Linked DNA regions of Caenorhabditis elegans. Each later gene encodes a partner of the first gene's protein in a complex. Each region holds a gene or a part of one and is shown in the gene's direction. Other genes may lie near its edges.

Region 1 (9,829 bases):
GTACTATAATAATCTCATATTTCAAAATGATTCATAAGTAAAAGTTTTATCAAAATATGCTAAATAAACTTCTTATAACTACGTTTTCATCTATTAAACTTTCACTTAATAAGATTTAATGCATCTTGTTCCCCATGTTTTTGCATCTGATCATAATTGCTGACAAATCGTGAACGAAGAACAGTGTATTTGTTATATTTACACATTTCAATCTCTCACCACCAACCAATTTCTCTGCCATCTTGGTCGAAAACAAAGTGACGAATTGGCGCATCATTCGATTATATGTGCCCCGTTTTTGACAAATAGTGAAAATTTCAGGGAAAAGAGAAACTTTAAGCTTTATCTTCTAAATAATGGTAGAAATATTTTCCTCAATGTAAAATTCAACTTTCAAAGCCCTCTAACCAAGTTAATCCTTTTCGCGCGCTCTTTTTCAATTCAATACTAATGAAGTTCTGAAAATTTGAACGTCCCCTTTTTTTTAATTTTAACAAGAAGAAAAAATGTAGAAAAACAGATTCAAAATCATTAAATTAGCGGATAAATTCAGAAAAAATGAGAACATGTAAAAGCGCTCCACCGGCCACCGTACCCTGCTGAATGCGGCATTTTCGCGGCGAGACCCGCCACTCTTTTCATTCGTTTTGACCCTGTCGCCTCCAAATATCTTTCGATTTTTGACATGTTTGCTGCTGTTTTTATCAACTTTTCGAGTAATCACGCGATTTAAAGACGTAATTATCAAACTTTCTTTCTAAATTTTCCGTATTTTCACGTTTGTTGATTGACATTATCTCAAAGAGGTAATTCTATTCGTATTGCAGATCTAATTGGGTTGTTTGAGCGATTTCTCGCAACAAATGGACGTAGAAAAGCTTAATCTGGACAATATCATCTCCAGATTATTGGAAGGTATGTGTTTGTCATAGTGTTTATTGAAATTAATCTTAAAATGATTTCCGCTTCAGTCAGAGGATCCAAACCAGGGAAAAATGTTCAACTCACAGAGAGCGAGATCAAGGGGTTGTGCCAGAAGTCTCGTGAAATTTTTCTGAGCCAACCTATTCTTCTCGAGTTGGAAGCTCCGTTGAAAATTTGCGGTAAGTTCTATCGAAAAAAGTTGACGTTTCCTGCTATGAGTCATTTTACTTATTAGTATTTCCTTCCACAGGAAATTGCCGTTTTTATTTTTGATAATATATATTCTGAGAAAATATATTTTTCAGGTGACGTGCACGGACAATACTACGATCTTTTGAGACTGTTCGAGTATGGTGGATTCCCCCCAGAGTCGAACTACTTGTTCCTCGGCGATTATGTGGACCGAGGGAAACAATCGTTGGAAACTATCTGTCTCCTACTTGCATATAAAATCAAGTACCCGGAAAATTTCTTCCTGCTCCGAGGAAACCACGAGTGTGCCTCGATCAACAGAATTTATGGCTTCTATGACGAGTGTAAGAGTTTGATCTGAGATTATCTTAGTACAGATTTATTCAAATCTCATGTTTTTAGGCAAGCGGCGATACAACATCAAACTGTGGAAGACGTTCACCGATTGCTTTAACTGCCTGCCAGTTGCCGCCATCATCGACGAAAAGATCTTCTGCTGTCACGGAGGACTTTCTCCAGATCTTCAGTCTATGGAGCAAATTCGTCGTATCATGAGGCCGACAGACGTACCAGATCAAGGATTGTTGTGCGATCTGTTGTGGTCAGATCCTGATAAAGTTCGTTTGTGAACATAAAATTCAATGAATGATTACCATTTATTTTCAGGATGTCACTGGCTGGGGAGAAAACGACCGAGGCGTCTCTTTCACTTTCGGACCAGAAGTTGTTGCCAAATTCCTGCACAAGCACGATTTGGATTTGATTTGCAGAGCTCACCAGGTATTACTTAAGATTTTCTGCAAAGTTGCGAACCGAGAAATTTTCAGGTTGTGGAAGACGGTTACGAATTCTTCGCTAAGCGGCAGTTGGTTACATTGTTCAGCGCTCCTAATTATTGTGGAGAGTTTGATAACGCGGGATCGATGATGACTGTCGATGAAACACTGATGTGCTCTTTCCAGGTAAACATAGCGGTACCATCTATATAATTTTAAATACTGATAATGCGTATGCATTCACCAATGATGCAATGGTTAAATCAGACGAGTCTATTTTGGCTATCTATTCGAGTTCTTCGAAGAAATTGCCGCTAAGCGGGGTGAAATTGAGGCATTTGTCTGAGGTGATTTATTAAACGCTAAAACTACCTATCAAACATTAAAATAAAACAATTCGGAATATTTTTTTCAGATCTTGAAACCAGCAGACAAGAAGAAATATCCATATGGTGCTGGAGGAGTTGGTTCAAATAGACCAGTCACCCCACCACGAAACGCACCGGCTGCGCAACCAAAGAAGGGTGCCAAGAAGTAATCATCAGTCGATTTATCTATCATCTGTAAATACCTAACCTTTTCTTTGTTGTTCACGCCCCAAGAGGCCTCGGCCATCTCTCGTAAATCGGCTTCAAAAAGTTGTGTACATTAATTTTGATTTTAAACATAGTTTCGAAAAAGTTTAAATTCGATTCATTATGATCTAGGCTGGCACGAGAAGATGCTGTGGTCCCGGCGAATCTCCTCTCAATTCAAGCTTTCGTTGTCAACATCCCTTCCTCTTTATCTCTGTGGACCATTTAGAGCTAATGACTCCTCACCAATTGCTGGCTCAATTTTTCATCAAAACAATCCCCATTTTATTCGTTTTTAAATTCCAAATTTTAATTTTTTTTGCTAAACTTATCTCTTAAAACAGTATCAAATTTTACTTCTCTAAATGGTCTAAATATTTAAAACAAATGTTTATGATGTCAATCAATCTCCACTCCTTTCCTTCCTCCATTCATTCGTCCATCCCGTACTCTTCGTTTCTCAATTTTATATTGTTAAAACCCCCATTTGTCGATTTAATTCATTAAAGTTTTCCGAACAAATAAAATAGAACACTGGTACAAGCGTGTAAGCAATATTTCTTATTACAACGAGTGCAACGTCTCCAAGGAGAGCGTGCGAGACGAACAGACATCCCCCACGACTAGTGCTCCTCGAGCCGTCTCATCGATTTCTGTCGTTTGTCAGTTATTCAGAAATGCTCCGCCCCGGCTCTTCAGTAAGCTATAATAGGTAATCAGAATGAAGAGAAATATTTTTTGAGTTTTTTCGATTGATTTTCCGTGTTTAGCTCAATGAATCAAGTTTCAATAGATGCACACCCGTCAGATCAGGCAATTATTGTACGATTTGAACAATCTCCTAGTAAGTTTTATATTTTTATTTTCAATTGAATGTGTTACGAAGATTATTTGGAAGTTTGATTCAGGTTCTTCAGCAGGAATTTCAATAAAAAAGCGAGCTTCTTCAGCGAACGTTGAGTCTCTTGGCCATCAAAAAATGTAAGAATCTGATATAAAATATAAAATTAAACTGGAATGCAAATCTGCTTAACAAGAAAAATAAAATAAAATATTTTTAAGACCGTATGCCCACGAAGGTGCACGTATTCTTTCGGATGGGTCTCACCGCGAAAAATGTTTATGGTAACACTTTAAATTTTTTCTGTTGCAAAAACCACAATCAAGATACAGAAAAGTTATTTAATAATTGCTCACAAAACCCCGAATAACAGAAAACGCACGACCGAAAATAGCAAAAAGTGTTGACTTGAGCATTTTGCTCGCTGTGAGACCCATTCCCCATGAATCCATGCCTCTTTAATTTTTAGAATATTGGAAAATAACTGATAAAAAATAATAATCGAATATATATATATATGAGAACCTCAAAATGTCACCTGCATCTAACATTGTACGGCTACAAAATTACCCAAATTGTATTACAGAATCCACTTGAAAGAAATGAGTCTGGATGTAGATATTCGTGCTTTATCAAATGTTATTCTTCAAAAATGTCTTTTCATTCCTGCCACGTCACGAAGTCAATTGGAGCAGGTTTTGTTCTACATTCAAAAAAGAGGAAATCAACGAATAAGTGCGAGATCAAGAAGTTCTTCGGCCGTTTCATTTGATCGAAGGCCTATTCATAGTCCTACAATTAGTGCAGAATTAGGGAAAATAGATGTACGTTTTATAAGAAAACATTTTGTAGATTACGTAAAGTTGAGGAGCATTTGGTTTTATTTTACAAATACGCATAGGCTATATCAAAATTGAAAACATTAATTGTTACATGTTCTAAAATGGAGCAGCTGAAACAAAACCAAGCTCGCTTGAGTGCTTTTGTATCCGGTAGTACCAATATTTTAGAATCTAAAAATTTATTTCGAAAATAATCTGATTAGTTTAAAATAATCTTTGAATGGTTTTCTATACATCATTCAACATTTATATAAAAACAGATTTCTTATTATGGTGAGAGCCTAAAACCAAATAGAACTTGAAAAACTACTTTTGAAATTAAAAATGTATCTTTCAGGAGTACATAGAATGCTTCTACGGTGAAACTTCTGTTGAGAAAAACAAAGGAGCCGTGGCACTTTATGAACTTTCAAAAAATCCTCAAAACCTCACACAGCTTGTGAACAATGGTAGGTAATTCTAGAAAAGCTTACCCGATGACCATAATTTTCGGACGTAATCTATGTATTAAAGTTAACGTTCAAATAACACTACATTTCAGAAACTCTTATGATGGCACTGGCAAGAGTATTCCGAGAAGACTGGAAGAAACACTTTGAAGTTGGAACCAATATTATGAACCTTTTTGTGAATATTTCCAAGTTTTCATGTTTACACGGAATTCTGCTTCATCACAAGGCATGCATGGTTTCTAAACGCCTTCACTTCACCTGAATTTCGTTTAAAAGCTAGATTTGCAGATTGGTACTTTATGTGTAAATGCAATGGAACATGAAACAAAACGGTACGATTTTTGGATTGCTGAGATGAAAAAGACGGATCAAGAGACATTGAGAAAACTAAAAACAGCCATTCGAAAACAGGCGATGCTATTGGCAGGTTTGTTGCAATTGTACATATTACATTGAAAATGGTTCAATTCCAGCATGTGTCACTTTTCTTACCAATCTAGCCACGGATATCAGTGTCGAATTGAAAATGGTCCGAAGAAATTTGGTGGCACTTCTTGTCAAGTGAGTTTAAAGGCGCAGTTAGTGAGGAAATTGTAAAATGCTGAAATATCATAGTAACACTTTTCACAGTTTTTTTTAATCTCTCCACCTTTAATAATTAACACCACATTCACTCATTTTACATTTCTAGATGCCTCCAAATGTCATCAGAATCTACAAGTTCACTAACAACTGCAACTATCAAGTTTCTTCTTAAATTAAGTATTTTTGATGAAAATAAGATTGTAATGGAACAAAATGGAACAATCGAAAAACTTTTGAAACTATTTCCAATTCAAGATCCAGAACTGCGAAAAGCAGTTATAATGCTTCTTTTCAATTTTTCATTTGACTCCAAAAATCTACCAAAAATGGTGAATGGAGGTCTTGTACCACATATGGCATCTCTATTGGACAGTGACACGAAGGCATTGAATATGATGTATTTATTAAGTTGTAATGATGATGCAAAAGCAATGTTAGCATACACCGATGCTATTAAATTGGTGAGTTGGGTCAATCAAAGGAGATAGTCGAAAAGTTACTATACATTAAAGATGGAAAAACGCAAGTGGAAAATTGTTAAAAACCAATCCTATACTAAAACTTTTCAAATTTTTTGATATTATTTTCAAGTTTGCATTCGAATAGTGGTTGTCGTTTGAGCTACTTTATTTGTGAATCAATTGTTTTTTTTGAAATTGTTTGAACATTATTGAAATAGCAATTCAGACAAAATCTACTTACCTCGGGTCTATGTTTTGTTAAACCTAAATATAACGCCACATAGCAAATAGTCACCGATTTTTCCAACGTTTGCTACGAGGATATGATTCATAAAAAAACATTTTTCCAGCTAATGAAAGATGTGCTAAGTGGAACAGGAAGTGAAGTGACAAAAGCAGTCCTGTTGAATATTTGCCTCGAAAAACGAAATGCTCAGTTGGTATGTGGACAACGTGGTCAAGGATTAGATCTTCTTATGGAAATGTCTATCAACTCGAGAGATCTAATGCTCATAAAGGTTGTTCGAGCGATTTCAAGTCACGAAGGTGCGACGCAGAATATGTTTTTGGTAAGTTGAGAACTGAATTATTATTGAACGGTGAAAATAGATAACGAAAAAAAATGAACGTTGTTATTTAAATTTAGAATTTTCAGAAGTGGATTGAAACTCTTATCGGGATTGCAAAAAATGAAGGAGCAGACAACTCAGAGTCAAAATCTTCATTTGGTTTAGAATGCATGGGTACAGTTGCTGAGCTCAAAGTTGCTCCGTGGGCAAAGTGAGCTTTTTGAGTTCGGAATTCCAATCAAAAACTTAAATTATAGAATAATTCAATCTGAAAATCTTGTTCCTTGGATGAAAACTCAACTTCAAGAAGGAATTGATGAATCCGAAGAAGTGACAGTACTTCGAGACATAAAACCTCTCCAACTACAAATTGTAATTGCTTGTGGAACAATGGCTAGGCAATTGGATGCAGCTAGGTTATTGGCTCCTTTGATTGATACATTTGTGCAGTTATTACAATGTACGTTCATAAATTTAAGTTATTTTTTAAGAGTTTGTTTCATAATAAAACCCCAGTAACTTTTGAAAACATAAAAGTTCATTTTTCCTCACAATCAGATTTAAAGGTGGAGCTTTGCCAGTTGGTAAATTACAAAATGGAAATTATTGAAACTAGTTGTGTTTCAATTGTATTTGAACATTCTAGGAAATCGAACATGTAAAAATGTTCAAAATTACTCAAAAAGTACATATTTTTGGAAGTAATTGGCAAATTAACAAATCTTCAGCTAAATCTTTTTTAAAATCTAACGTTTTTGAAGTGTTTTACTGGTGTCATTTTGATCTTTTTTGGGTGTATCGAGAATACAAATAAATTACTGAAAAATATCGCAATCTTTTTTTCAGCATGCCAAATTGATGATGAGTTTGTTGTGCAACTTCTCTACGTTTTCTTGCAATTTTTAAAGCACAAGGTATAACGTTTTAGAGTTTTTTCAACTCTCATATAAATTTTTCAAAGGAACTATCTGCTCGCCTGATGACTCAAGATTCAGCTCTCGGAGCCCATATGATCGATTTGATGCACGATGCAAACGCAGTGGTTCGAGAAGTTTGCGATAATGCCCTTTTGATAATGGGTGAACATTCAAAAGAATGGGCAAAACGGATAGCTGGAGAGAGATTCAAATGGCACAATGCACAATGGTTGGAGATGGTTGAGGTATGATCGTAGTTATTTTAACAATTTATTCGTTGATTGGTACAAATAATATTATGATACTGGTCACTATACAAATATACTATACAAGGTTTTGGAAATTTAACGTCACTAGCATTTCCTAGTTTTATTTCTGTATAAAAATACTTTCAAAAACGAAGACACTCTGACTATCCCGTTAAAAATATGTATCAAAAACATCATTACTTTAAATGAATCTATTTAGTAGTTTACGGTGAGTGTTACGGTAGAAACAGGATAGCAGTAATGCAGCTTGAGTTACATTACATTAATATAGGCTCTAAAGTCACCGGTTAAAAATCGTTTTTCCAGCGAGACGACAGCGAATTCGTAGATTACGATGATGAAGATTTTGGAGCTGATCTCAAATTTGATCACTATGATGATGGATTTGATATGAATGAGCCCCTTTTTTAACTTTTGTTTGTTGTTTTTTTAACCTACAAATTATATATTTTTACTTAATAAATGAATGTTTTGATTTATATGCAAAAAATTAAAACAAAATTCACGTATAAATATTTATCTTTTGAAAGGTCAAATTTTCTCTGGCCATGTAGTGTTTCACATTTAGTGTTTCATTCCTCGAAGTGACTGCTTCATTTTATTCAAAAATGAACAATTCTTCAAATGTTACAACTGCAATAATTTCGGTAAGTTGTGAAACTTTCAATCTTGTGAATCTTAAAGGTGGAGTGAATGGGGACACATATAGTACTTGAAAGAGTCTAGGACTCAAAAATGCCACAGAAGAAAATAAGAGAAATTATTAAGAGACCATGAGATCATGAGAATGCCTACCGTTTTGGCGCGGGAATATCTCGTAGCGAAGGTACCTAAATTCTCATCGCCGCATGTTCTTACAATTAGATTACTCTAGATATCCGAAGAATCTCTCCTGCCGCCATTTTCGCGCCAGAAAGTAGACATTCTCATGCACCGATGGTTTCTTAATACTTGACACGTTTAATTTGAAGTGGAATCTAGTTGCATCGTGGCTGGGAACCTCATTAGCAGTTCTCATGTTAATCGGATTTTCAGACAACAACGATCGATAACTTACTCAAGCAACACCAGTGTGAATATTTTCATTATAATAAACTGGCACTTGGATTATGGATTGTAGCTTCTGCACTTTGCTTCATCGCGTTGTTGAGTACCATTTACTCGGTTTTCAACGCATTTCAACTATGGAGTACGATACAGGATTTGGATAATGCAATCATCGATTTGATTGACGAGGCAAGTTCAACTCTTCAGAAATTGCCCTTTTCGATAGTTGTGAATTGAACACCTCTCTTTTGGATACTTCTACAAAACATTATATTCACACATACAATACACTTGTAGGTTACTGTAGATATCCGAAGAGTCTCTGAAGTACTATCACGACTCTCAAGTCAAATGATGAAAAACTAACGAATAAACTGTAGTTTCGAACTTCTATAATGTTCCGATACAAAAATAAACATTCGATAAGGTTATTTTTAGAAAAAATTGGTTTTGGTCAATGCCCCAAATTATGATAGAAAAGTTTTCATAAAAAGTTATTTAATTTTACTAGTTTCAGGCGTTGCAAATTCTCCTTCCAATCGAAATCTGCAAACAAATCTGTCATCCTAATCATTTGGGTTCTGTCAATGTGAACTACTCGACAAATGGACAAAAACGTATGTCTTTCTCTGTATCTGTCTCTCCAAAATTCATTATTTCAGAGGAAACAAAACCAGGAAAAAAAGATAATCGATATCCAGAAGATGTCACATTTCCACCATCTGATATTGAACGTGTTTATGACACGATGGGAGGTAAGAATCAGAACTCGGTTATTGTTTAGTTGCCATACGCTCCAATTTTCGGCAACCAGCAACTTGGTTGCCCTGGTGGTCAGATAGACAGGGAGTAGGTATTGAGGGGGGTTGTGCAAGTCGGCAAAGCCGTAAGATGTAGGGATGAGGTGGACACGTACGCAGGCAGGTGTGAAGTAAGTATTAGGTAGGCAGAAGGAAAGGGACTGGTGAAGTGTCTGTCTATTTCTTGCAAATAATCGAAATCAATTTTCAGATGAAGATACTCGTAAATCGAAGACTATGACACTTGGAACTATTGAAGAGGTTTGTATGTTCACTCGAGTGTTTTCATTCATTTCAATCAATTTTCAGCCTGCTCCAAAATCGGCCATGCTCAGCTTACAGAAGACACCAAAGGAGAGTGAGACTGATCTGGTTCGTTTTTTATTTTTCGAAATATTTTTTAGCTTTTGTAGTACTCCAAGATCTTGAGCAAAAGTACAACCAATTTTTCAGAAAAAGACATTGCCACGTTCTCCTCCTCCAATTCCGAATCGTAAGCAGCCGTCTCGTGAGATCATGTTGACTCCGAAGCAATCTACAAAGACTGCAAATGCTGGAGGAAGAAGCAAGGAGCCGTCG
Region 2 (10,296 bases), on another chromosome or scaffold:
GGAGGTTTAACACCGAACTTCGCAGAAAAAAAAATTGAAAAAACGAAAGTAAAATTGAGTCTATACAATGGAAAAGTCAACAGTCAGAAAATAAGAGTGTGGGAAACGCAGAGAAGAAAATATTGAAGAATGGCAAGAAAACTGTGCCAAGATGTGGGCAAATAATGTAGAAATATTTTTTGAAAGGTGTAGTTTGTGACTTTGGACACGAAAAGTTGATTGAATTTTAAAGAATTTAAAGAAGCAGTTGATTCTGAAAGCTTTTGCTCGGTCCGATGACCATTTTAATTTCGTTAAAAAAATTTAACTGTTTTTGAATAAAATCATAGATTGATGTGAGATATGAGTAAAAAACTAGTTGATTTGTCAAAAACTTCATCATCGATGAGGAAGGAAGTGTTTAGAACTCAAAAAAAAATAGTGAAAAACTCTCTACGATTTCGAGATGAAAATTATAATCCAAATAAGAAATACTTATGACAAAAAAATCTAGCAAGAAACATTTATTCTAATTTCAAGTTAATTTTCTTGAATATGTTAGATTCCAAAATAAAATAAACGGAACGGAAACTAAAGAGATGGTTGTTGGTGTCTGCTCACTATCAGTTGATGACTCAACAATTCTTAAGTGATGAGTCAGTTGAAAAGGAGAATCGATTTTAAAAGGGGAATCATACGTATATAATGGATGCTAATATCGAATGAAAATTATATTAAATTATGGAAGAATCTCTTTGAAATTGGAAGGTTTGAAAAGAATTCTCAGCCGTCTAGGCTGAAATACTACAAAATAAAAATGAAAAATATCCCGAAAAAATCGTGTAAGAATCCAACTTAAAAAATCGAGATTTTCCAATTCTACCTAATTTCGATTCTTTCCTAATCTCACTTGATTTTGATTTGATTTTCTACATTCCTATTGCCAACGATGTTTTCAATAATGTTAATGAAATTTTCTTGTTTTTTTCCCATTAAAGTGAATTCAAAATATTTTATTGTCATATGCTTGGTTCTAGTAAATTTTTAATTTTTTGAAAAAAAAAAGAACGAGCCCTATATGATTATATGATATGATCACATGATATGATGAGTATATGATTTTTTGCTTGGTATTTAAATTTTAAAATTATAATTTAAAATTCTACTTTTTGAAGAAAAAGGAAAAGCCCTGGTAGTTGAGCCATAGAGAAAGTGCAAAGAGAACTGTTCCTGATAATTTTGAACATTTCTGAAAAGCTTCAATAAAATATCTAGAGCCTGGCCTAAGCAAAGAGCTCCAATTATCTTTTCCGAATCAAGACCTTCAATTATATCCAGTCACATGATTTGTTTTTATTCATAATTCACTTTTTTAGACTTCGGTCTCCTGTCGCACTTTTCTGCTTCACTGAATTTTCTGCGAATTCTTGCATGCATTTTCAAATAATCTGCAACATTTTACTGATTCTCTATTATAATTTCAAGGAAATTTTATTTCATTGCTTTCATTGCAGCCTGTCTAAAATTGTTCTAAACCGATGTCAGAGTATAGACATTAAAATTTGTAATTTTTGCAAATAATCTTTTTTTTTAAACCAATCATTGAATAAAATCTCAAAAAATCAAGTTTCAAAAGTCTCTTGAATTAATAACTAAGAGCTAGAGCTCCCCTGGTAGGTAGATGCGTTTTCAGGCCCTGGCGCATGCCTTAACCCTTTTTCATGTATGTGATATAAAAATAGTCTATATACATAGAAGCCATGCTACTAATAATGTATTACAAATCAGTGAATATCATCAAACATTATAACTTCTCTGTGAATTTTTTCAAAGAAGACTATCCGGAATTTTACTTTTTCTCATTTTTAAATAAATCAACAATGTTATGGTAAGCTTCTGATTCATCCTATGTCTAGTTGTGTTTTAATTTAAAATCTACACATGTCTATGATTACTTTTTGAAGCACCTCCATCCCTTTATAATTCAAAAACGTCAAGTTTAAAATGTATATGTTTCCAAAGTTTCGGACACATGAACAACTACTTCTGAGTGTTCACTAGAAACATATGCTCCATTCTTCACATTGTCTGCGTCTCTCAACTGCGCAGGATCGATATTATGCACATTTTGTGCTCTTTTAACCCTCTCCCTCTCTGTCCCCCATCTTGAAACCACCTTTTATTCCTCCAGAAGTCTCCTTCTCTCAAACTCTCTATCTGCGTCTCTTCGTATTTTTACTATCACTCATCTTCCGACATCTTCTTCCGATTACTTCTTCCTCGTCTTTTCGGGAGTGACAATATTACTTTAGTCCATCCGTTTTAGTACTTCTTTGTACGAAATGTAACACTTGTGTGAACATTTTATAATGAATAGGATCTGTTTTTTTTGCTTATTTAGACATTTTATTCACATTTTCATATTATTGAAGAACTTTAATATTTTAATATTTTGATGAGAAATTAGAAATTTTCTCCATTTTTCAACGTCAATGATGTTTTCAATCTTTTTAATGCATTTTTTTCCTTTAAAGTTAATTCAAAATATTTCTAAAAATTTCAAATGTATGCATATTTTTCCGATTGTCCAGATGTGACATAAAACCAAAAATATTGAAATTCCACGACTACAATTTCTGGTTTTTAGTCACTTTCTCTAGCGGTTATTGCTTCAAAATTCCGTTTCTCGATACAATATGATTATTTTTCCACATTAAACTAATCTTCTTAAGTTCCAGACCACTCTCACTAAATCAGGAATGCACCAAAATTTTCCTTGACACCTACATTGATAGCCAAATATTTAGTGACAAAAAATGGTGGAAATAATGAAAAAATCTTCAAAACAGGAGACTGTCAAAGTAAGTTTTTTTGGGGTTTTCAAAATCTTTTTTTTTGTTCGAAACATGTTCAAAAATTAGTTCTCAAAATGTAAAATAAATGAAGTATTTTTTAGAAGTACGAAAAAGAAAAAAAACTAAAATTCACCTGTCTTCAAATTTTCCATTTTCCAACATAAGTTATATTCAACGTAATAAAGTACATGCTAGTTTCTAAAATGTCTGATTTTGACCAAAAGGTGAGTTATTTTAATTTTAAATTAATTTGAAACCGTATTTTAATATAAGCACTAATAAACGTAATTTTTCAAGTTTTAACATAATTTTTTTTTAAGTCCAAAACGTATATTAGTTTTTACTAAAAATACAATTTTCCTCTAAAAACTTTTCGAAGCATCACTATTTATGATTCAGTTGAGTTTTGCATTTGAAAGAAAAATCACAAGACTCTAAGTAAATTGTACTTTTTTTCGTTACTTCTCATACAAAAACCACCAGCTTAAAAATTTCATAATCCAGTTTTATACATTTCCAAATTCAAATAAATGTATTTATTTATGTTTACAGGTAATTGTGAGATGTCGACCGTTATCTTCACAAGAAATTGCAAATAATTATTCAAAGTAAGTAAAGTTTGAAATATTTATATTTTGAAATTTCGATCATTTTCAGAATAGTACATATGCGACCACAACGTGGGCAAATTGAGCTGAAAAATCCAAAAGAGCAAGATGAGCCATCGAAGGATTTTACATTCGATGCAATTTATGATGAAAAGTAAGATTATTTATTTCTAGGAGTACATCACTTTTTTTTCACCTGCTATAGAAATATTAGTATTTTTCAAAATTATTTCTCCACAATTTTATGTTTATGATTTTATGAGTTCTCTTTTTTAAAAATATATATTTTATAGTTCCACACAATCGGATCTATATGAAGAAACCTTTCGAGATCTAGTTGATTCGGTTCTAAACGGATATAATGCCACGATTTTTGCATATGGTCAAACTGGAACTGGAAAGACTCACACAATGGAAGGAAAATCATCGGATCCAGAACAACGAGGTGTCATCTATAAGTGTATTGACCATATTTTTGAGCACATGGCAGCATCACATAATCAAGAGTATTTAGTTAGAGCTAGCTATTTGGAAATTTATCAGGTAAGGCGTTAGGATGTGTGATTTACAAAAATGAAATCTTTAGGAGGAACTTCGAGATTTATTAGAAGCCGAATCGAATAAGAAATTAGAAATTAAAGAACGTCCAGATGGAGGAGTTTATGTGAAAGATTTAACGGTAAGTGATAGTTTTCTGAAATAGAAGACGACTATAAATTTCAAAGTTTCAGTCAAAATTAACAAGGACAGTAGGTGAAATACACGAAGTGATGATTCGAGGAAATGGGCATCGGTCTGTAGGGTAAGTTATTTCTGTGGTCGCCGTTGGATTTGATTTTACTAAAATTTTCAGGCGAACCAACATGAATGAGCATTCGTCTCGTTCCCACGCTATCTTTATCATTACTGTTGAATGTTCCCGAATTGGTGAAGACGGAGAAAGTCATATTACAGTTGGTCGACTAAATCTTGTAGATTTAGCTGGTTCAGAACGGCAATCGAAAACAGGAGCAACTGGCGAAAGATTTAAAGAAGCTACGAAAATCAATCTTTCATTATCGGCTCTTGGAAATGTAATCAGTGCATTGGTGGATGCGAAATCTGCCCATATTCCTTATCGAGATTCAAAACTGACTCGACTTCTTCAAGATTCTCTCGGTGGAAATTCAAAGACAGTTATGGTTGCTTGTATTGGACCTGCAAGTTACAATTTTGAGGAGACACTTGGTACATTACGATATGCAAATCGAGCTAAAAACATCAAGAATCAACCGAAAATTAATGAAGATCCTAAGGATGCTTTACTGCGAGAATTCCAAGAAGAAATTGAAATGCTCCGTGAGCAACTGAAGCAGAGAAAGACAAGATCGAGGGATGGAGCAACTCAAAGTTTTTATGATGCTGAACGAGCAAAACTTGAAGATGATATTGAAGCAATTCAAAAAGATGATTCACTGATAAAACATGAAAAGGATCGATTAATAAGAGAAATTCAAGAGAAGCATGATCTGTTAGAAAAGGAACGGATAGAACAAGCACGGGTTGCTGAAAGAATAGCAAACATTCAAAGTCGACTTATCGTAGGATCTGAAGAAGATGGAAGGTTAGAATCAAGGACAAAAGAACAACATGCACAACTGGAAAAGAAGAGAAGAGAACTTGCCGAACAAAAACGAAGGGAAAGAGAAATGGTTGAAGCATTGGAACGGCAGGAAGAGGATACTGTGGATTTGAAACAAACATTTTCGGATTTAAGGACAGAGGTGGAGGCAAAGACAAAAAAGTTAAAGAAGATGTTGATAAAGTTGAGACAGGTTTGACTTCAGATGTACCAGGTGTCAAGATAAGGTTTGTGAATGTTTCAGGCTCGCAATGAGATTCGTGATGTGTCTGGAGCATATTCCGACGAACGACAAGATCTGGATCAGACAATTGCGGAAGTGAGCAAGGAATTGAAGTTGAAGTAAGTTCAGTGATATCTCAATTACAATTTAATAGATTCTCACTCATTTTCATTTCTTTCACTTTCTTTCGTATTCTAATTTGAATTCAAATAGTGTAATTTGATACCGACAGCGCAGGTTCTTTATTCTCACAATTCTCTCCTTTTCCCCCCAGAAGAATTTTCTTTCGTTAGGATTTGATGTTCATTTTTTTTAATAGAATAATATAAGTTTTCAGGCTTCTTATTGTTGAAAACTTCATCCCTCGAGACGTGAGTGAAAGGATAAAAGAACGAGCAGAATGGAATGAAGATAGCTTTGAATGGAATGTTAACGCATTTCAATCAACTTCTTCTAATTCGTCAACACCATTAAACAATAGTAAGTTTTGTGTTTAAAAATTAATTAGATTGAATAGGGGACTTTTATTTAATCAGATTTCCAATTCAAAACTAATTCCTCTTATTTCAGCAATTGAAGTCAACGAAGACGGTGTCTTTACACGATCATCTGGTGCCGATAGTGGTGTCTCCGTGAGCGGCGGAAACGGGACGCCTGCGACATCGCAATTTTTGGACAAAAGACTGGTGAGAAGAGACTTAGAGAAACGAGAGCGAGTGGCTCCATTAGGCATGCATTCGAGATTCTAGCTCATATAGAAAAAGAAAAAGAGGCAAACAACATTTTCGATTTCTTTTTCTTTTTTTTGTGTTCTTGAAAATCACGACATCGTGTGTCCAATTCAGTTGTTCCTTTTCTCATTTTTCAGTCGAATTCTGAATATTTTTATTTGTAGTGGCATTGTATAATACCGACTTTTGTAGTTCACTATGTCAGTGCTTAGAAAGTATTAAGTACATTTTGATACAATTCCCTTATACAAGCTGTGGCAACTTACTAAAAACTGCTCAAATATATTCCCATGTTTCTGGCAGGACGTTGCCTAAAATCTGTTAGTACTGATTACAAAAATCTGAATACAATAATTTGGGTAATATTATTGTAATAGTATAACTCAAAAGTACAGTTCATAAGTTTGACCGAAATTAAAATTTGTATAACTTTAGAACCAATTCAAATTTTATATGAGCTATCCACCATCATTTACAAAGTTACCATTACTAAATTAGGTTTAAATTGAATAATTATTTATTCAGGTGGCAACTCCTGGCTGTCGACGGCCTATGTCAATGTGTGAGCGGATGCTCGTGGAAACAGCTCGAGAACAATTCGGTGCTCAGAGGAGGCCTCCTATATCAGGTATATATTTTTGAAATATCTTTTTTAAACATGATACAGTGAATCTAAAATATCACTTAAAACACTTATCTAATTACTTTAGGTGTCTCTTATAATTCTAGAAGTTTGGATTGAAAAAGTTTCATCACAATTTCCGTTTTCTTATCTAATTCTCGCACTCTCATCTTCACCGGAAAACTGGCCTGTCGTCTCTCCCGGGTGGCCTTATGTTTCATGTTTCTCTTTATCTATTTATCTATGCAGTTCTGATGGACTGACGCTCTCTGTGCTCTTCCGCAACTTTTTTTCTTTGTGTGTACTCTTGCTCCCGGCAGTTGTCGCCTTTCATTTTTCTATTTCACTATTTGTTCCCTACCTAGTTTTATGCATTTGTTTGTTTGACGATCTTTTCAAAACCTAACACCGAATTTAGAACTCCATCAGTTTTTCTTGACTTCTTGACTACATTTTCAGTTTAAAATCCATTGAGCTTACAAAAATCGAAAATTTTCAGGTTCAGGATCGTTTGTCGAGGCGACAATTCCCGAGGAGACAATCCGATTCTGTGGGGAGAACGTTGTCGTTTTCAGTGCTCTGGAACGATTTGTTCCAGAGGTGACTGACTCGGATCCGTCCACTTTTTCAAACTCAATGATGATGGTACGTTTCGAGGTTTTATGGCTTATTGTTAATTTATTAAAATTGTTCAAACAACCTCAACTCTAATAGAAATCAAAGTTCTATTTGAATGAATTGAGCGAAGGATTAGTGAAAAAAGAAGGGATTTTTATGCAGGATATCACATGCATTTTATTAGACTCGTTTTTTTTCTCTATCCTCTTCTCATCAGAAATATTCGTTATTAACAACATTCATTTTTTAGACTTTGAGTTTCTCATTTATTTTTTCATTTGAATATTTTTTCAATCCAGAAATTTTCAGTCAGCACGTCGTCCATCAATCGAGAATCTGACAATCGACGCGTCGAAGGTTCTCGTTCCAATTCTGAACCAATCGACTATGATATTAAAGTACGTTTTTTTGTGGAATTATTGTCATGAATATTCTGTTTTAATAGTGAAAATATATGCTGACGAAAAAAGTACAGTTAAAAAATGCAACAAAAAAAAACAAGAAATGGGTCCATTCGATTCTAAATTCAAATTTTCTGACTTTCGAAAAGAATATCTGAAATAAAATGGCAACAAAACTTGGATATAAGGACCCGCCAAGATCTTGGCTTTGCTGAGATTTTACATCGATTTTTTATTTACTAAACGGAATTAGTTTGTACTAGTTTTTGATTTTCACTGTATATGACACACAAATAAGAACAAAAATTGCATGAAAAACATTTCAGAAATTCAAAAAACGGTCAAGCCCGCAACGACACAATGCCACCGAACGGTTCGATGAGAAGAAGCCAGAATTAGAAAATAATGAAACGATGAATGAGTTAGAATATGTTGATTATCTTATTAATGTAAGTGCCAGATTTTTGTTAGATCTTTAATTAAAATTTAATTTTCCAGAAAACAGAAGAAATGACTAGAAAATTGAATGAATCTACTGATTCTGATGACTACCGTAATCCATTGTCATCTGGGCGTGGTTCTATGACGTCATCATCAATCAATGAACCACGAATGTTTATTTCAACAATGTCGACACCAAGAAGAACTCCATCTAGAATTCCAGCTTTAATGACTAAAAGCTTGCATGCTCCAAGGTAAGTGCAAACGTTGGATTACTAAAAGTAAAATAATTCTTCTCCACATGTGTGTCTTTAATGGTGAAGTATCGTCTGCCAGGTTAAAAAATATATAAATACTTTCATATCAATCATATCAATCTTCCAAATTTTTAGAAAGTTTGGAATTTTTATGAAATTTCAAAAATTTTTGGTTGACTTCCAAAACTATGATAGGTGAAACTGAGTTATTGTCAATTTTTGACTATATTCGAAAAAGTTTCAGAAATTTTGGTTAACATTGTTGCTCTACTTGCCATGCTTTAAACATCTGATTTCAGATCCTTGTCAACCCCTCAACGTGGTGCAACAGTCTACGGTTCGGGAGAGCAGCTTTGTGCTGAAAATTCTGGAGTTGGATTTTCAAGTAACCGGAGAATCGAGACGGAAATGCTTTTAAGTAGAAGTCAAGAGAAGAGAAAACAGAGGGCAAGTAGTTATGATCCAAGGTAAGATCTTTACAGTACTGTCCACATAAACAACGTTTCAAATTTTCAGATGTCTTCTTGCTCTTCACTCATCTCCATTCCGTCTGTCAACATCTGCATCAGCCACTTCTTCATCTCAACACCAAAGATTGTTGACGTCATCATCAATCCACGTTGCATCCTCATACTCTCGACTTCTGCCTCGACGCCCTCAATGGGTTCGTAGTCAACCATCAAGTTCAGTCCAACTTGCTGAATCGACAGTATCATTGGATTCTTTTGAATTGATGAATACTAAATCCAATTTCTATTTGGATTCCGATGAGTCTTCTTCTGATGATTCCGATGCTGAATTTGGTGCTGAGTGTTCTGTTGATGGTGTTGTTGAAACACCGAGAACACGTCGAAAGTTGATTTCAGTTAGAAGGTTGAAAGACAGAAATCGAAAGAAATTCAAGTAAGTCTAGTTTCTCTATTTGGCATTCTATTATATTCTATAGAAAATGTGTTTTAGAAAAATCTTAATTTTCAGATGTTCCATGAAACGTCTACATCCACCAACTTCACCATCAAAAATCTCAAAAAGTGCTTCAAGTTCATCCGATCTTACCTCATTCTTCTGTATCTCTTCACCATATTTCTACCTCCTCATCGCATTCCTATTCCGATTTCTTATATTTTTATCAGATACTTTTCTGCCGATCTTCTGATCTTTAAAACCTAATTCGAAATTTCGAATTTAGTCGTCGTTGCGGGCTTTTTCAGGCCTTCTTGTAGTCTCGAACAGTTTTTTAATAAGAAAATATCACTATTGATACGGTTACCTTTCACATTATTAGTGCTGATTGAAACCAAACTTTTGAACATTGTCAGAAATACTGTTTCCCTTTTCTGTGTGATTTTTTATGTCTCTGGGATTTTTCAAATAATAAATAATAAACGATATTCTCGTACATTCCTTTTTCTTTTCTATCTACTAATCGAAGGGTCATAACACATAGAGCGGCACCATAAAACAAAGTAGATCATTTTATTCGGAAAAAAATAATTTTGCGGGAATTTTTTGGTTTTCCTGTATAGAATGGGTTGCCCATTACATCCGTATTTACCAAATCGCATTTATATTATATTTATACCTTTTTGAATATCTAATTTTTTGAATTTTCAGGTAACTATAATGTCAAATGGTAAACGTGGCCGCAAGGCTAAGCCAACTAATAAAGAAAAGGATATGATATTTACTCCTGGTAAGCATATCATCTTAACATTTTTAAAAAATAATGTCATTATTGCAGGATGTGTGGATTGTCACATGAATCATCTCCCATTCCAATGCCCTCGTCCAGTGATGACAAAGAAACTGCCAGAGTGGGAGAAAAAATCGATTGGAATGGGAAAATTAAAGAACCCACTGGATAGCAAAGGTACAATTTATAGTCGTCCTCGAAAACACATTACGTGCCTGATTATTCAATTTGCGTCTCAAGTGCATTG
Region 3 (10,497 bases), 7.1 Mb from region 1:
AAAAAAAATTACTACAATGTTCACAAGTGCCGTTTGAATTGAGCAAAATATGTTGTTAATTTCAGATTTCAGTACCGCTGAATTTTTTAAAAACCGAATTGATAATTTCGTTTAAAATATTTGCAAACAAATTTAAGAAAAACCTTAAATTATTTCGAAATTTATTCCAGTGAGCAAAATGTGTTGTCAATTTCAACACCGCTGAAAAAAAATCTCAAAATTGGAAATTTCTAGTCGGAAACCCCTTAAAAAATGCTTTTTTGCTAAATTTTCCCATTGTAGATTTGAGTAGGTGAGCGCCTGCCTCCGGCAGGCCTGCATGCCTACCTAGGCGCAAGGCAGGCGTAAAAATTTTAGATCCAGCACTGGGTTTTTTCTCATATCTGCTAAAAAAACTGCAAAAATTTGGCTGGATTTTTGCCTAAAAATTCAAAAAAAAAATTTTTTCACATTTTTCTGAGACAGTTTTTTTTTTAGGTTTTCACAAGTTTTGGGTTAAAAAAATCTGAAAAATCTAAAAAAATTAAAGCACCAAAAGTGTCAAAATATGAAATAGTAATAGTAGTAATAATAATAATAGAACAAAAAAAATAAAAGAAGACACTATATTTTTCTCACGATGATCATTTCCTTCTCAATTTTTTTTTTTTTGGCATATTTTTTCCTCTTGACTATACGATTTGTTGGGGGTCAATCTTATTTGTAAATACAGAAGAAAAATCATACTAATTGAGCATTTTTTGTTTTTGAGATTTTTTGGGCTTTGAGCGGGAGAGTGCACTGTAGCTTTTGTTGGAGAATTTTCGAGTAAAATATTTTGGAAATTTGGGGAGAAATGTGAGTATGCTGGCCTAAAAAATTGAAAAATTCAACTTGAAAATTGAAATGTTTTAGTTTAAATTTCGAGTTTTACACTAGAAAATTAATTAAGTTTAGCCTTAAAAGTAAAAATTTCAGCATAAAATTGGATAATGTTAGCCTGAAAATTGGTTAATTTGAACCTAAAAAATGAATATTTTTACCTTAACAATCAGATAATTTTAGCATAAAAAGTAGAGATTTCAGTCTGAAAATAGGATAATTTCAGCATAAAAATTGGATAATTTTAGCCTAAGAAATGCATAATTTCAGTCTAAAAATTAGATAATTTTAGCCTGAAAATTGGACTATTTCAGCATAAAAATTGCATAATTTTTGTCTAAAACATGAAGAGGTCTGCCCTAAAAATTGAGCAAATAAGCTTGAAAAGTGGAAAATTTAGCTAAATTTGTTCCTAAAGAATAAATTATTTTAGCCTAAAAATGTATTTAATTTATCTTTAAAATTTTAAGTTTTTAGGTCAAAATTTGGAGATTTTTGCTCCGAAAATTGGACAGTTTTCGCAACATTTTTTACAACATTTTCAATTTTAAGCCTAAAAATGCGAAAAAATGAAAAAAAAAATCATGTAACTTCTGAAAAAAAAATCTGCAAATTTTCTTCTAAAATTTGAAATTTTCGACCTTTGTATTTCCATTTTCCATTAGCTTTTGTTGTTCTGTTTTTTCATTATTCAAAGTGCTTAGCGCAAATTTAATTTCCCAAAAATTTAGTTAAACATCACAGCCTCAAAGTGACGTACATTCCGGAAGTGTGGAACAGACGGGACCCTCCAAAAACACAGTAAATCGATAGAAAATACAATTCTAAACATTTTTGTAATTGGAAACTTATTGATAGCTCAATTCCCCGCGGAGTTATGCAGCTTTGAAGTTTGCGAGGCGAGAGAGTGTGGGTGGAGGAGAGACGCAGGCGGCGCGCACACTGCGTCTCTCCTCTCCCCACACTCTCTCGCCTCTCAAACTTAAAATCTACATAACTCCGCTGAAAATCAAGCTGTTGGAAAAATTCCAAATACAAATGTGTTTAGAATTTAATTTTCTGTTTATTTTTCTAAAATTTTAGTTTTTATCCATTTTGAAAAATGTTGAAACTCGGGTTTTTTTGGTTTCTTCGCAGCCAATCTTTGTGCCTATATGCCAGGATGTCCCCTCTCTGCACTAAAATTCGATACCAGACGGCTACTAGAACCCCCATTTAGTGGACACCCTCGGCTCACTCTCTGCGTCTCTCCTTTCCCCTACATACTCTCCCTTCCTCTGTCTTTTTCTGGGTGTCCCTGCGTCTCTCACGGCTGTTACACTCTCTATTGGTTTCCGGGGACAACTGGTCATTTTACTACTACTATGCTGCTCAAGTTTTGAGGCTACTTTTACATTGTATTAGAAAAACCTGACTTTTTCTGAGAATGTTTGGAAATTTTTTTTTGGGATTTTGGGTTGATTTTGAAGATTTAGAGTCAAATTTCAAGAACTGTTTAGATTGAATTTTCCCACTGAAAAGTACGTTTTTTAATGAAATAATTGAACAAAATATTGAAAATGTTCGAAGTTTGAATTTGGTGCCGAATTTTTGAATTTTCCGTCAAAATTATAATTTTGAAAATTTCTATTTTAGCTGCAATGTTTTTTTTTTAAATTTTTCTATTCTTACCCCTGTTTGAAGTTGATGCTGAAATTTTTAGAATAAAAAAAAAATTTTTGGCATTTCGAAATTTTAATATTATTTTATTATCGAAAAAATACGATCGCACAAATTTCTCATAATTTATTTTTGATCTACCTTGTTGACTAAGCTCCTCCCCTTCCTTGCTTAGCTTAAAATAGACTAAAAATTTTAATTTTTTGAATTTTTCGAAAAATTTTGGAAATTTATAGCCAAATTTTTTTCAAAAGTTCAAAATTTAAACTTTGCTTTAATCTGAAATTTTCTCGACTCTATAATTTCGCGGTAAAATTTTATTTTTTTTATTTTCAAATCTCTGAAATTTTCAGCCATTTTTCAATTTTTTTTTCGAAACTTTGTTTGATTTCAAATTCAAATGCGTTGATTTTATAATTTTTTTTCTGAAAAATTTGAATTTCCCGCTAATTTTTTCCCCATTTTTCAGACAATGGAAGGTGCTGAAAAAGTGAAAGTAGTGGTACGATGTCGTCCAATATCCACCACAGAGAAACTTCAAGGACATAAAATTGCAGTCACCTGTAACGATGAGGAGAAGGCTGTGAATATTAAGAGCCTGAGCCAGGAGGTACGCCCTGATTTATTTCAGATTGTATTTTATAGAGCCTTAATTTGTTCGAATTTTCCAGGATCCCCCACGAACTTTTTACTTTGACGCTGTTTTCTCCCCGAATACGGATCAAATGACGGTGTATAACGTCGCGGCGAGACCCATTGTGGAGAATGTGCTCAAGGGGTATAACGGTGAGTGGCTTGATGTGGGTAATCGATAGAAAATGAAATTCTGAACATTTTTGTAGTTGAAACCTTTTTGATAGCTCAATTCCCTGCGGAGTTATGCAGCTTAGAAGTTTGCGAGGCGAGAGAGTGTGGATGGAGGGGAGACGCAGTGTGCGCATGCCGCCTGCGTCTCTCCCCCTCTCCCACTCTCTCTCCACAAATTCATTGACAGGGCATAACTCCGCGGGGAGTTGAGCTATCAAAAAGGTTTCAACGGCAAAAATATGTAGAATTTAATTTTTTATCGACTAATTCTAAAAATTTATCTGTAAAAAATCTCAAATTCATTTTCAGGCACAATCTTCGCGTATGGTCAAACAGGGACTGGTAAGACCTTCACAATGGCTGGGGACTTGGAGCCCGTCGAGATGCGTGGAATAATTCCAAATTCATTTGCACACATTTTTGATCACATCGCAAAGTGCCAGCATGATACAACGTGGGTTTTTGCTTGAAAATTGGGAGGAAAAGTGTCTTAAAAATATAGAATCCTGGTAGAAAATAAAATTTGAAACATTTTTGTACTTGAAAACTTTTCGATAGCTTTGTTTTTTGCGGAGATACGCGGCTTTGAAGTTTGGATGCCGAGAGAGTGTGGGTTGAGGGGAGACACAGTGTGTGCGTGTCGTCTGCGTCTCTCCCTTTCCCACACTCTCTCGCCCAGAAAACTTTGAAGAGACATAACTCCACGGAAAGGAAAGCTAGAAAGGTTCCAACTGCGAAAATGTTCAGAATTTTATTTTCTACCTATTCACTGTAAATTTGATAAACTTCGAACATTTGGAAAATATATTTTTAATTGAAAAACATGCTTCAGAGCATCAGAAGATTTCTAATTGATACAAAATTAAATTCTGATTAACTTTGCAATAAAAAGTTTCTTGATAACTACATTTTCCGGCGAGTTATGCGGCGTTGAAGTTTCGCCGGCGAGGGAGTGTGGGAGGGGGAGAGACGCAGATGGCGCGCACACCCTGCGTCTCTCCCCCTCCCACACTCTCTCGCCCAGCAAACTTTGAAGGGGCGTAACTCAGCGGTGAGAGAAGCTATCGAAAAAATTTCAACTGCAAAAATGTTTAAAACTTTATTTTCTATCAAATAACACAAATTTTTAGATTCCTCGTCCGCGTATCCTACCTTGAAATCTACAACGAAGAGATTCGAGACCTCCTTTCCAAGGATCACAACGGGAATCTGGAGATTAAGGAAAGACCGGATGTTGGCGTGTAAGTTTTTGCCTGAAAACTACTGAAAATTTTTAAAATTTTAAAAATTCCAAATTTCCAGCTACGTCAGAAACCTGTCGAACCCTACTGTGGAGAATGCCTCGAAGATGCAGGCACTGATGGAGTTTGGCAGCAAAAATCGTGAGTTTTTCTGACAAAAATTGGCTGAAAAATATAAACTTTGATATGATTTTCAGGAAAAGTTGGCGCCACGGCGATGAATTTGGAATCCTCCCGATCCCATGCAATGTTCACGGTAACCATTGAATCCTGCCGGAATGGCCTGGTGACCCAGGGAAAGCTTCAGCTTGTCGATCTGGCCGGCTCAGAGCGCCAGAGCAAAACTGGAGCACAAGGAGAGCGGTTGAAGGAGGCGGCGAAGATTAATCTGAGCTTGAGCACGTTGGGTAATGTGATAAGCTCGCTGGTGGATGGGAAGTCAACGCATATTCCGTATAGAAACTCAAAGTTGACGCGGTTGTTGCAGGATTCGTTGGGCGGGAATTCGAAGACTGTAATGGTGAGTGGTTTTAGGTTTTTAGGTTTTTGAACAGTTTCACAGTACCTAGACTCCCTTGACTCACATAACTCCTTAGAGCTGATTGCTATCAAAAATTTACAACCTAGAACATATAGCCCTTGAAATTTGCCATATTTTGTTAGTTGAAAACTTTTTTCTAGCACTACTCCCCGCGGAGATATGCCCTTTCAAAGTTCTTGCGGCAAAAGAGTGTGGGTTGAGGGGAGACGCAGTGTGCGCGCGCCGCCTGCGTCTTCCCTCCCCCTACGCTCTCTCGCCGCGCAAACTTCAAAGCTGCATAACTCCGCGGGGGAGAGGAGCTATGAGAAAATTTTTAATTGCAAAAATGTAGAGAATTTAATTTTCTATCAAAATTTGAAAGTTTTCAGATTGCAAACGTTGGGCCTGCCACGTACAATTATGACGAGACGCTTTCCACGCTGAGATACGCAAATCGTGCGAAGAATATTCAAAACGTCGCGAAAATCAACGAAGATCCCAAGGATGCTCAGCTCAGGAAGTTTCAGCTGGAAATTGAGGCTTTGCGTAAAATATTGGATGGTAAGCCATAAAATTATTTGAAAATCTGAATTTTTTTTTCGGTTTTTCAGAAGAAAATCCCGGCGACGATGAGAATCAAGAAGAGGCCTGGGAAGCGAAAATGCAGGAAAGGGAGGTGGAAATGGAGAAAAAGCGGAAAATTCTGGAGGAACGGGTCAATTCGGCGGTTAACGATGAGGAGACGCATCGATTGGTGAAGGAGATGATGGAGAATGAGGCGGAATTGAAAAAAGCTAGGAGTGAGCATGAGAAATTGAGGTGAGAAATATGAAAATTTGTACAAAGTGCAGAAAATTAAATTCTGAACATTTTTGCCGTTGAAAGTTTTTTGATAGCTCAATTCTCCGCGGAGATATGCCCCACTGAAGATTGCACAGCGAGAGAGTGTGGGGAGAGGCGAGACGCAGTGTGCGCGCGCCGTCTGCGTCTCCCCACCACCACACTATCTCGCCGCTCGATCTTTGAAAGGGCATAACTCAACGAGAAATCAAGCTTTTGAGAAATTTCCAAAAGGAAAAATGGTTAGAATTTTATTTTCTATCGATTGAATGTAATTTTGGGGAGGTTTTATGATTTTTTACTTTTTTTTTCACACTTTTTTTGTTTTCTGATGAGTTTTAATATATTTTAAGAATTCTCAAATCTCAAAAAGTTAAAATTTGAAGATATTTCGCAAAAAATTGTTGACAATTTTTGAGAAAAAGTTTTAAAACAATTGCAAGTCTTCAGAAAAAAGAAATTCCACAAGTTTTTGATAACAAACTAAAAATATTTTTAAAAAAGGCTAATGTATCTTTAATTTACCAATTTTTACTTATTTTACGGAAAAACTCCAAAAAAAGATTTAAAAAAACACAATTGTGGTGGAAAATTTCTTAAATGTCAAAAACTACACGACCTACCAAAATAGCCCTTAACATTTCCCACATTTTGTCAGTTGAAAACTTTTTTCCAGCTCTACTTCCTGCGTAGTTACGCCGTTTCAAAGTTCGTGCGGCAAAAGAGTGTAGGCGAGGGGAGACGCAGACGGCGCGCGCACACTGCGTCTCTCCCCCTCCCACACTCTCTCAGCTCTCAATTTTTAAAGCGGTGTTACTCAGCGCGGAGAAGAGATGTAAAAAAGTTTTCTATTGACAAAATGTGGGAAATTTTAAGGGCTACAATTTGCCTATTATAACTTTTTTGATAGCACTGCTGGAATTTGAGATTTTGTGGTTTTTTGCAAAAAAAACGAAAAATTATGAATTTTTTATTGTTTTCAGATCAAAGCTAGAAAAAATCGAGAAAAAGCTTATTGTGGGAGGTGAAAACTTACTGGAAAAAGTCGAGGAGCAAGCGAAACTTCTAGAAGTGAACAACAAAGAGCTGGAGCAATCCAAATTCCAGGAGGCCCACCTCAGAACTCAATTGGAAGAACGGACGGCTGTAAAAGTGGAAATTGAGGAGAGGTATTCATCTTTACAAGAGGAAGCCTTTGTAAAATCCAAGAAAATCAAAAAAGTTAGCAATGAGCTGAAGGATGCTCGAGCGGAGCTTAAGGATTTGGAAGAGGACCATCAGAGGCAGGTGGAAGCTATGTTGGATGATATTCGCCAGTTGAGAAAAGTTAGTGATTTTTTAGAAATTTGAAAAAAGTTGAAAAAAAAGTCAAAAATAGATTTTTAAAAATTAAAAAAAATTTTTTTTTTTGAACTTAAAAAAATTTGTCCAGATTTTTTTGTGAAATTTTTTTTTCTAAATTTTCGAAAATAATTTTAAAATCGAATAGAACGTCTCAAAAAGTACAATTTTAAGTATTTAAGCTCCGCCCCTTTGTTAAGACCCGCCCACTTTTTTTTTGAATTTACGAAAACTTTTTTTTTGAAAAATTTTCCAGAACTAGTTTTCGTCAAAGAAGTTTTTTTTTTCAAACTTCTAAATCAAACAGAGCTTCTAAAAAAGTATAATTATAAATATTTAAGCTCCGCCCCTTTCTTAGACCACACCCACTTTTTAGGATTAAAAAAAATTTCAGATTTTTTTTTCGTCAAAAAAGTTTTTTACTCAAATTTCAAAAATAACTTCAAAATTGAATATAGCTTCTAAAAAAGTATAATTATAAATATTTAAGCTCCGCCACTTTCTTAGGCCACGCCCACTTTTTTTTTTGATTTTTCGAAAACACTTTTTTGGATTTTTAAAAAATTTTCCCAGATTTTTACGAAAAATGTTTTTCTTCCTAATATTTTTTTTTTAATTTTTGTCTAGAAAAATAAATATAATTTTTTAGGATCACCTACTTAGGCCCCGCCCCTTTTTAGGCTTAACCGAGTTTTAGGATGTACCATGAAACCTCAGGATTTCCCCGTTGGAAAAATAGCAATTTTATTGAATTTTCTGAAAATCGAGGCTTTCACGTGGTGTCAGACTGTCCCATTCTGGCTTGATCTACGTAGATCTACAAAAAATGCGGGAGAGACGCAGAGTTCTCAACTGATTTCGCATGATTAAAAGCGTTCTGACGCCACATTTTTTTAGGCGAAAAATTCCCGCATTTTTTGTAGATCAAACCGTAATGAGACAGCCTGGCACCACGTGGGGTTTCAAGATTTTATGATTACAAATTTTACTGAAAAACTCAAGAATTCACAAAGTTCATTTTACATTTTTGAAAAAAAAATTTTTGACATTTTTTTTCTGTTTAAGAATTCCAACTTTATGATTTTCGATGAAAAATTGAAAATTTTAAATTTTAACAGTCAATCCATTTTCAGGAGCTCCTACTAAATATTGCCATAATCGATGAGTACATTCCGGTGGAGCACGTGGAGCTAATTGAGAAATATGTCAGTTGGAGTGAGGAGCACGGAGATTGGCAGCTCAAAGCAATTGCCTATACTGGAAATAATATGAGAGCCTCCGCGCCGCCGGCTAAGAAGGAGTTTTCGGTTGGTTTTCAGTTTTAATTTACGTTTTTAACTTGCATTTCGAACAATTTACATTTTCTCATATTTTCAACAACTAGCAGAGCTATCAGAAGTTATAGGCTTTAAAATTTTGCACATTTTATTAGTTGAAAATTTTTTTCTAGCGTCTCTCCCCGCGGAGTTACGCCCTTTCAAAGTTTTTGCGGCAAGAGAGTGCGGGGGAGGGGGAGACGCAGACGGCGCGCGCACGCTGCGCCTCTCCCCCTCCCACACTCTCTCGCCGCTCAAACTTTGAAGGGGCATAACTCCGCAAGGAGAGGAGCTATCGAAAAACTTTGAACTACAAAATGGTTTAGAATTTGATTTTCTATCGATTGCTGTACATTTCAAGTAACCAAATATTTCCAGAACAACAACCAAACGGTGCCAATGTACTACTCGTATCGTGCAGATCTTGGTGCATCAACCGCCGAGCACAGGCCACGGACGAGCTCCAAAAAGTTTGTAAAACCGATTGATTTTATTATTTATAGATTTTTTTGCAGACATCGAGCATCAATTCGACTACAACAATTGCTCACATAACTGGTACAGGTGAGCTAGACTATAAACTACAAACTACAAATTTTAATTTGACTGAAAAACTTCTCAGTTTTGGGGTAAGTTTCTGACCCAAAATTTGAGAAATTATTTTCCAAACTCTGCCATTAAGTGGGCGGAGCTTACAGGTTTTCTATTTTTAGGAAATTGTTGCAAACTACAAACTACAAAATTAAAACTACAAACTACAAACTATAAATCATAGCTTTCACTATCTTGGCATATTCAACTTTTGAGAAAAAAGTTGAAAAAATCTGATTTTTTGACAAAGAAAAAGGTGGGCGGAGCCTAGTACCTTTTTTGAAAGCTGCAAACTACATGGTACAGACTACAAACTACAAACTACAAACCGGATTTTTTATTTTCTTGGAATTTCAAATTTTGGAAAAAAAAGTTTTTGATTCGATTTTTGTTTTGATTTTTCCTAACTTGTTAGCCAAAAAGTGGGCGGAGCCTAACTTACATTCTTCTAAAACTACAAACTACGAATATTAGACTACAAAATACACACTAAAAACTACAAATCATAATTTCAACTTTTTTTGGATTTCCTAAATTTTCGGGGAAAATTTAATTCGATTTTTTTTCAAATTTTCCCCTAATAAAAAAGGGCGAAGCCTGTAATTGTAAGCTTTAAAAATTACAAACTACAAAATGCTGACTAAAAACTACAAACTACAAACTACAAACTACAAGCCGAAATTTTTATTTTCTTGAATTTTTTTTTTTTCATATTTTGGAAAAAAAAAAGTTGTTCATTAAATTTTTCTCTGATTTTTTTCAAATTTTGTTCCCCAAAAAGTGGGCGGAGCCAATAGTATTTATACTTTTCTGAAAGCTCAAAAAATTGTGCATTTGACAAAATTAGTTTCAGCTTGTAGCAAAAAATGTTTTCAAGAAAAAAATGACTGACAAAAAAATTTTCCAAAAAAAAAATTTTTGTCACAAAAAATGACGAATTCAAAATTAATTTTTCTTGACGTATTTTTTTCTAAATTTTTCAAAATTTTCATACTCGTAATACACTAAATTCAGGTACATATTCATCTCCATCAATGTTACGCTGAATTTGCAGTGACATCTTTTGGCTCCGCCCACTTTTTGCCAGCAGCTCCCCGAGCACCTCCACTCCCTTTTGGCTTCCAATTTTTCTGTGTACTTTGCCATTTTCTGCTGTATTTTGCCTGTGCCACGTGTGCCACGTACTTTTTCGATAAATCTGGTCATACCTTTAGTATATATCGTATAACTATAAAAAATTACGAAAAATCGAAGAAAATTTGATGAAAAACATGGAAATTTTCGACGCGTAAAGTCAGAAGGGAAGAATTTTTGTACTTTT

What was found.
Region 2: the proteins of kap-1 (region 1) and klp-11 are in contact, whole or in part, in a crystal structure (PDB 9IKB), measured with the Caenorhabditis elegans proteins. Residues at the interface, in NP_001367739.1 of Caenorhabditis elegans: Pro155, Gln156, Thr159, Ser197, Lys198, Phe199, Ser200, Cys201, His203, Thr263, Asn264, Thr267, Ile269, Lys304, Leu307, Lys308, Ile311, Phe312, Met345, Phe348, Asn349, Phe352, Lys378, Asn381, Tyr384, Leu385, Cys388, Asp390, Lys393, Glu416; in NP_001369897.1 of Caenorhabditis elegans: Phe567 (codon at 5,643), Pro569 (codon at 5,649), Lys644 (codon at 5,964), Arg645 (codon at 5,967), Leu646 (codon at 5,970), Val647 (codon at 6,543), Ala648 (codon at 6,546), Thr649 (codon at 6,549), Pro650 (codon at 6,552), Cys652 (codon at 6,558), Arg653 (codon at 6,561), Arg654 (codon at 6,564), Pro655 (codon at 6,567), Met656 (codon at 6,570), Ser657 (codon at 6,573), Met658 (codon at 6,576), Cys659 (codon at 6,579), Glu660 (codon at 6,582), Ile679 (codon at 6,639), Val686 (codon at 7,153), Glu687 (codon at 7,156), Ala688 (codon at 7,159), Thr689 (codon at 7,162), Ile690 (codon at 7,165), Ile695 (codon at 7,180), Arg696 (codon at 7,183), Phe697 (codon at 7,186), Cys698 (codon at 7,189), Gly699 (codon at 7,192), Glu700 (codon at 7,195).
Region 3: the proteins of kap-1 (region 1) and klp-20 are in contact, whole or in part, in a crystal structure (PDB 9IKB), measured with the Caenorhabditis elegans proteins. Residues at the interface, in NP_001367739.1 of Caenorhabditis elegans: Ile269, Glu272, Leu273, Val276, Arg277, Leu309, Ser310, Ile311, Phe312, Asp313, Glu314, Asn315, Lys316, Asn349, Phe350, Phe352, Asp353, Lys657, Ala660, Gly661, Arg663, Phe664, Lys665, His667, Asn668, Gln670, Trp671, Met674, Val675, Asp679; in NP_497178.1 of Caenorhabditis elegans: Tyr557 (codon at 8,436), Ile558 (codon at 8,439), Pro559 (codon at 8,442), Val560 (codon at 8,445), His562 (codon at 8,451), Leu565 (codon at 8,460), Ile566 (codon at 8,463), Tyr569 (codon at 8,472), Lys582 (codon at 8,511), Ile584 (codon at 8,517), Ala585 (codon at 8,520), Tyr586 (codon at 8,523), Gln607 (codon at 8,973), Met611 (codon at 8,985), Tyr612 (codon at 8,988), Tyr613, Ser614, Tyr615, Arg616, Leu619, Ala621, Ser622, Thr623, Ala624.

What each region holds. Positions count from the first base shown.
Region 1 is NC_003281.10:7,335,760-7,345,588, forward strand, and holds kap-1 (Kinesin-associated protein), read left to right. Parts: upstream 1-3,241; coding exon 3,242-3,311; intron 3,312-3,375; coding exon 3,376-3,448; intron 3,449-3,894; coding exon 3,895-4,132; intron 4,133-4,487; coding exon 4,488-4,599; intron 4,600-4,691; coding exon 4,692-4,837; intron 4,838-4,890; coding exon 4,891-5,029; intron 5,030-5,075; coding exon 5,076-5,163; intron 5,164-5,293; coding exon 5,294-5,648; intron 5,649-5,998; coding exon 5,999-6,217; intron 6,218-6,303; coding exon 6,304-6,428; intron 6,429-6,474; coding exon 6,475-6,677; intron 6,678-7,063; coding exon 7,064-7,131; intron 7,132-7,178; coding exon 7,179-7,379; intron 7,380-7,709; coding exon 7,710-7,814; downstream 7,815-9,829. Other genes in the region: gsp-2 (Serine/threonine-protein phosphatase PP1-beta), read left to right, coding at 864-915, 972-1,103, 1,230-1,460, 1,519-1,733, 1,783-1,896, 1,944-2,078, 2,308-2,430; F08F8.6 (uncharacterized protein), read left to right, coding at 8,012-8,050, 8,439-8,639, 8,968-9,067, 9,113-9,205, 9,462-9,511, 9,560-9,622, 9,704-9,829.
Region 2 is NC_003282.8:8,754,496-8,764,791, reverse strand, and holds klp-11 (Kinesin-like protein), read left to right. Parts: upstream 1-2,725; 5' UTR 2,726-2,795; coding exon 2,796-2,840; intron 2,841-3,386; coding exon 3,387-3,442; intron 3,443-3,491; coding exon 3,492-3,596; intron 3,597-3,735; coding exon 3,736-3,985; intron 3,986-4,028; coding exon 4,029-4,121; intron 4,122-4,173; coding exon 4,174-4,244; intron 4,245-4,295; coding exon 4,296-5,256; intron 5,257-5,307; coding exon 5,308-5,405; intron 5,406-5,623; coding exon 5,624-5,766; intron 5,767-5,856; coding exon 5,857-5,972; intron 5,973-6,542; coding exon 6,543-6,645; intron 6,646-7,138; coding exon 7,139-7,284; intron 7,285-7,566; coding exon 7,567-7,655; intron 7,656-7,984; coding exon 7,985-8,057; downstream 8,058-10,296. Other genes in the region: F20C5.11 (uncharacterized protein), read left to right, coding at 8,072-8,107, 8,157-8,353, 8,656-8,823, 8,873-9,259, 9,335-9,512; elli-1 (Enlarged germline granules protein 1), read left to right, coding at 9,980-10,049, 10,098-10,226.
Region 3 is NC_003281.10:218,427-228,923, forward strand, and holds klp-20 (Kinesin-like protein klp-20), read left to right. Parts: upstream 1-2,989; 5' UTR 2,990-2,992; coding exon 2,993-3,130; intron 3,131-3,191; coding exon 3,192-3,306; intron 3,307-3,636; coding exon 3,637-3,781; intron 3,782-4,457; coding exon 4,458-4,568; intron 4,569-4,629; coding exon 4,630-4,709; intron 4,710-4,765; coding exon 4,766-5,088; intron 5,089-5,406; exon of another isoform or gene 5,407-5,456; intron 5,457-5,477; coding exon 5,478-5,649; intron 5,650-5,699; coding exon 5,700-5,907; intron 5,908-6,911; coding exon 6,912-7,254; intron 7,255-8,402; coding exon 8,403-8,576; intron 8,577-8,963; coding exon 8,964-9,055; intron 9,056-9,100; coding exon 9,101-9,140; 3' UTR 9,141-9,149; intron 9,150-10,190; 3' UTR 10,191-10,389; downstream 10,390-10,497. UniProt on the Caenorhabditis elegans protein: Component of the kinesin II motor complex (composed of kap-1 and the heterodimeric motor proteins klp-11 and klp-20) which is required for intraflagellar transport (IFT).